Kluyveromyces lactis: one gene and its partner. The protein of the gene in region 1 interacts with the protein of each later gene in a pairwise test. Links are inferred from orthologs where the notes say so. Each region holds a gene or a part of one and is shown on either strand. Other genes may lie near its edges. The genes, in order: PEX21 and PPA2.

Region 1 (2,535 bases):
GGCGAGTTCACGATCTTTTCAGGCAAATTAAGATTGAAGATAAGATAATAAAACAGAATGCAGAAGAACTTCAGCAGTTGAAGAAAAAAGTTAGCCGTTTAGTGGGGAATCAAGTTCAAGGTCAGAACTCTAATACGACATTACCTGCAGAATCCCATGGGGAAAGTAACAACGCAGAAACCGCTGATAACAAATCAAGCTCGTTATGGACAAAATCCGTTTCATTACTCAACCAATTTGACCAAATTATTCAGGGGACCGTTGAAACGAAGTTAGGATTAGGCGACTCGGGATCCAGTGCAACTGAAAATCAATCAGAGGGCAAGCCAAAAGGTGACGACAATGCGGGAAGTGCGATTTGGTCCTTAGTAAATGAGTTTAAAAACGGGCTTGGGTTACTAGCAACAGAGGAAGAAGATGCTGATGGGTCTATAGGCACGATAGCGACTGGTCTTGCTACCAATATGGAAGATTACGGCACAAGAAAGGCAGAATCATCAACTCAAGCAAAAGAGATTGAAATGTATCATTATAGTCATTAAATAAGATTATTTTTGGAACTAAGCTTTAGCTAAGTTAATCTAATATTGGGAAGTAAGTAGAATATGGTGATCCTGCCAGGTGATTTTCCACGTGAGTGTAGAGTAACTCTAACTCAATATGTATCGACAAAATAACAGTAGATCTGACAACAGAGAAATACCCCTCCACTCATACTTAGTAATACCATTTTATTTTTTTTTTTTCAAACGGAGTTATGGTACACTTTTGCAGCGGCTTCCGATGAACTCATATTAGATAAGTCACCAATGGAGTCCAAGGGGTCGCCTAAAACACTATCCTGCACTGGGAAATACTCTTCGCCAAAAGTTTCACCGGTAGAAGGAGAATATAATTCCGTATATTTATCCTCATCTGGGTTCTTTTTCAGAGTTATTACACCATCGCTGATATTTCTCATGAGTCCAAGGAACTTGGAGTTCGAAAATTTCGAACTAGTTGTAGATGATTTATCTGAAAGAGTTGTGTAAATGGATTGGGCTGCTTCTTTTAATTGGCGTTGATCTTCGTCTAGAGGAGACGTTTCTTTGAGATGGAAATCGTCATCCTTGTCCTGTTGCTGTTCTTTTTCATCGTCTTGCACTTGTCTTTCCAGTTCAGCAAATTGTTCATCGAGCTTCGCGCTACTACTGGCATACGCTTGTGACTCGAGTTGGTTCACCATCAGAGATTGCTGATGACGCGGGAACATTTGTGAATGGGACACCATCACCGGTGCACCCATGGAGTACGAGGCGCCACGCGCCTCGTACTGCGAATACATCTGTTTATAATCTGTTGGGAACTCGGTCTTGTCGTGCACCTGCATGTTTGCGAACTGATCGATCCAAACATGGTGATCAGAGGCTGTAGCAGTATTACTAGTAGTACTGGCTGCAGTAGTAGCGTTAGCAACAACAGCTGCCATAGGCAGCTGTTGATGCTGTGGATGAGCGAAACTGGGACCCGAGGCACCAGTAAACTGAGAGAACTGGTGGTCTAGTGCATTATTTCTTGGTCTGCTCTGCTGCTGTGCGATGCTCTGTTGGTGCTGATTCGGCTGTCCGAACCTATAACCAGACTTCGAAACAAGAGTGTTCAAAGGATTCGTTTGACACACTGACATGGTATTATATTTCTTGGTTGGTGGTAGTCTCCTCGAGCAACAGACATAAGACAACTAGTCCGCAAATCATCGAAACAAGCAATGTACAAACTTTATTTATATACATATATATATATATATATAATAAATGCAGAACCTGGACGAAAGAAAGAAATTATGAATAAAGAAATGAAACAAGTTCAGACCACTAACGGTTGAAAGATGTGGAATGGAAGTGAATAAAAAAAAAAAAAGTGAAAGAGCGACAGATGCGCAAACCCCCCGGGTAACAGTGAGGCTTTCTATGGACTTCTGAAGACCAGTACTGGCACTTCTAGCCGATTGAGGAAGCTATTAGATGAGGGAACCCAAAAACAGTACGTAAGCAAGTGGAGAGGCGGTAGTTCGGTCGAAATGGAATAATCATTTGACATTTTGATAATCTAAAAGACGATTAGTTGCATAATGAATGCCGGTCGGGACGGAACGGAATTTTTAAACCCCGGGGGAAAAGGAAAAGGAAGGAAGAAAAAAAAAAAAGAATGCTTTCGGACATTCAACTCTGAGATTACATAATACCATCCACGTGACTACGTCACGTGGATGGTATTATGTAATCAGTGTATTTTCTTTCCTTACCCGGCCGCCACCCGTCACTCAGCCGTTTCAGCTCTTCCCTTGCCTGAAACGGCGGAAATAAACTCCGTCGTCGTGCGACACCCGCAAAATCGGGCAAAGCACAGTGTGGACAATGAAAAAAGGGGTGCAGCAAGAGGTGGGTTTTTTTTCCGCGTTACCCGGAGATCATTCCCAGGTGTTTCTTAACTCAATATGCCAGTAGTTAAAGGAAGAAAAAGAAATAGAATCTGTCATTGCCAAAGGGCAAAGCC
Region 2 (3,082 bases), about 410 kb from region 1:
CTGTTGCCTATCTTCATTAGAAAGATGGCCTTAATCGCTGGCGCACCTTCTTACCAGCATGTTGAATATTTCACTCAACAAGCTTATTTCGCATTCCAAGTTATCCAAGTGTTCTTAGTTACCACGTTGGCCTCCTCTGCTACTTCTACTGTTACTGCCATCGTCGAAGAGCCAACTTCCGCGATGAACTTGTTGGCTGAGAATTTACCTAAGAGTTCCAATTTCTACGTCGGTTACATCATTCTACAAGGTTTATCCATCTCATCAGGTGCCTTGCTGCAAATCGTGCCTTTGATCTTGTTCTTCGTGTTGGGGATGTTCCTTGATTCTACTGCAAGAAAAAAGTACGCTAGATTCACTTCACTATCCTCAATGGCGTGGGGTACTACATTCCCTGTTTACACTAACTTGGCTGTTATCACTTTCTCCTACGCGATCATCTCTCCATTGATCTTGCTGTTTGCATGTGTTGCATTCTTCCTATTATACGTTGCTTACCTTTACAATTTGACGTATGTGTTCCAGGAATCTCCAGATTCCCGTGGAATCCATTACCCAAGGGCTTTGTTCCAAACAATGGTCGGTTTGTACTTGGGACAAATTTGTTTGTTGGGTCTCTTTGTTGTTGGTAAAGGTTGGGGTCCAATCGTGCTACAAGCCATTTGTCTAGGTGTCACTGTTTTCGTTCATCTAAACTTCAATTCAGCATTTGACCATTTAATGGCCTTTGAACCTGTTGATACAATGAAGGCATTGGATGGTAAATCAAACACACCATCTTACATCAGAGATTTCGTTGAACCAGAAAAGGATGAAATCAAGGAATTGCCACCATTCCAAATCAAGAAGTACCATCCTCGTTCCTCGTCACAATTCGACCAAAGAACTACATCCATTCTGAGTGACAACACTTACGAAATCCAAACTGGTGTCTTTGATACCGATAATGAAAACACTTTGAACACAGTTCCATTGCTAGCAGACGGTGACATGACTCCAGTGCCACCAGCTCCATTCTGGAAAAGGTTCTTACTCCCTCACATCTACTATTCTTACAAGGCTGTGAAAACAAGATTGCCCGAGATCTACAATCTACCAGATCCAACAGAAATAACCGATGAAAAAGAAATCAAGCATGCATACGATTTCCCAACAGTCTCAGCTAAATGTCCATTCCTATGGATTCCTCGTGATCCATATGGATTCTCTACAGTTCAGATTGCTGATTTAGCTGGTGTCGTTGAAATTTCTGATGAAGGTGCTCGTTTCACAGAATCTGGCTCTATTGAGTGGGAAACTGCTCCACCTTCTTACAATGATTCTCAAATGCAAGTTGTATCTAATCCGTTTGACGAACAAGATGAAGATAATCTTCAGAGAGAGGAATAATCGTCAAGATCCAATCTAAGCCATTTTCTCTTACCATGTTGTGTAAGCTTTTAATTTATCTTTTTGTAATATTTCCACTAATCACTGATTAAATAATAATTTGTCTATTAAATTTCAAGCTTACCGAATTACAACCAAACACTAAGGAATCGTGGTCCAGTCGAGTCTGGGTATCCCACAGAAAGGATTCATTCCATAGTTGCTGTGTGGGAATTGATGTCTAGAGATATGAGAAGGGCTTCGCAACATTTGAGGTTGATTGGCAACCATTTACATGCTAGAAACTACCACAACGTTTTGGTTGGAAGCAAATACTCATCGTCTTTTAAACAGTACTTGCAGCTGCCAAACGGTGAAATTGGGTCCTATTTCCACGATGTGCCATTAGACTTAGATGTTGATGCCAAAACATGTAACATGATCGTAGAGGTTCCACGTTGGAGTAATGGGAAGTTTGAAATCAGTAAGACCGAACCATTTAACCCCATCACACAGGACATAAAGAAAGGCAAGCCACGATTTGTCAATAACATTTTCCCTTACCATGGATACATTCATAACTATGGGGCTATCCCACAGACATGGGAACAGCCACTTATTGAAGTATTGCCCGGTTTCAAGGGTGATAATGACCCATTGGACTGTTGTGAAATTGGTTCCAGCATCGCCAAAATGGGAGATATCAAAAAAGTAAAGCTTCTAGGGTCATTAGCCCTCATTGACGATGGAGAACTCGATTGGAAAGTCATTTGTATCGACATTGAAGATCCCATTGCTATAAAATTGAACAAGTTGGCAGATGTAGACACTGTTATGCCTGGTCTCTTGGATGCAACTAGAACATGGTTCAGAGATTACAAGATTCCTGCTGGGAAACAACCTAATGTGTTTGCATTCGAAGGTGAGTACCAGGACCAAGCATCTACACTTTCTACGGTACAAGAATGTCACGAAGCCTGGAATGCTCTAGTTAGGGGAGAAATTAAAGCAGATGGATCAGAGGCCGAGATTCCCTCCATTGTCAGAGCGGGAACTCACATAAGAGTTGAACCTAATCAACAAAATGACACACCAATCCCACAAGAAGTGGACAAATGGTACTATGTATGAACTTAAAAGCAGTCAGTGGTCAGTAAGCTTCTTCGGTTAGGTTAACCTGGCACAGCTCATCTCCTCTTATTATGCCTTTATGATATACATGTCCAATATTTTGATGTTACCCTCTCTCATATGTAGTGCAAAATTTTAATGTAAACAAAACTATATTTAATGAAACTATTCGATCTAACAATTAAGACGATGAGACAGTGGTACAGATTCACGTCAACTAAAGGCTATTGCGCTGGCCAGGTGTACCGTGCAGCATGTCATCTTTATCATTTGCTGGAATTTGTGCGTTTCTCCGCTCTGGGGAATACGATAAGGTACATAATGAGCCTACTTTCCAGGCAATCGATAAATTCTTGAAGGACAACGAAGAGATACTGGTTCATCTTTCGAGGTTTACCTCAGTTGAAAACACTGATTCCGTTGGAAAACAGCTGCAATTGAGGGGTTATTCATATAATGTGACGGTAGAGGACGAAAAATTGGCCAATGAGCTTTCAATTGCGTTAAATGTACATCAAAAAGAGTGTTTGAGAGTTATTTCGCAGACCAGGACCAGGTTCCCAGATTGTCCAATGGAAAAAGA

Evidence for each region.
Region 2: the proteins of PEX21 (region 1) and PPA2 interact in a two-hybrid assay, tested with the Saccharomyces cerevisiae proteins (2 studies listed by BioGRID). The link is inferred for Kluyveromyces lactis from reciprocal best matches to the Saccharomyces cerevisiae genes PEX21 and PPA2.

Annotation. Positions count from the first base shown.
Region 1 is NC_006041.1:1,384,933-1,387,467, reverse strand, and holds PEX21 (Pex21p), read right to left. Parts: upstream 1,667-2,535; coding exon 746-1,666; downstream 1-745. Other genes in the region: TDA11 (Tda11p), read left to right, coding at 1-542. UniProt on the Saccharomyces cerevisiae protein: Receptor that mediates peroxisomal import of proteins containing a C-terminal PTS2-type peroxisomal targeting signal via its interaction with PEX7.
Region 2 is NC_006041.1:974,491-977,572, reverse strand, and holds PPA2 (inorganic diphosphatase PPA2), read left to right. Parts: upstream 1-1,605; coding exon 1,606-2,499; downstream 2,500-3,082. Other genes in the region: RSN1 (Rsn1p), read left to right, coding at 1-1,389; NUP188 (Nup188p), read left to right, coding at 2,754-3,082. UniProt on the Saccharomyces cerevisiae protein: Involved in energy production. Its activity is stimulated by uncouplers of ATP synthesis.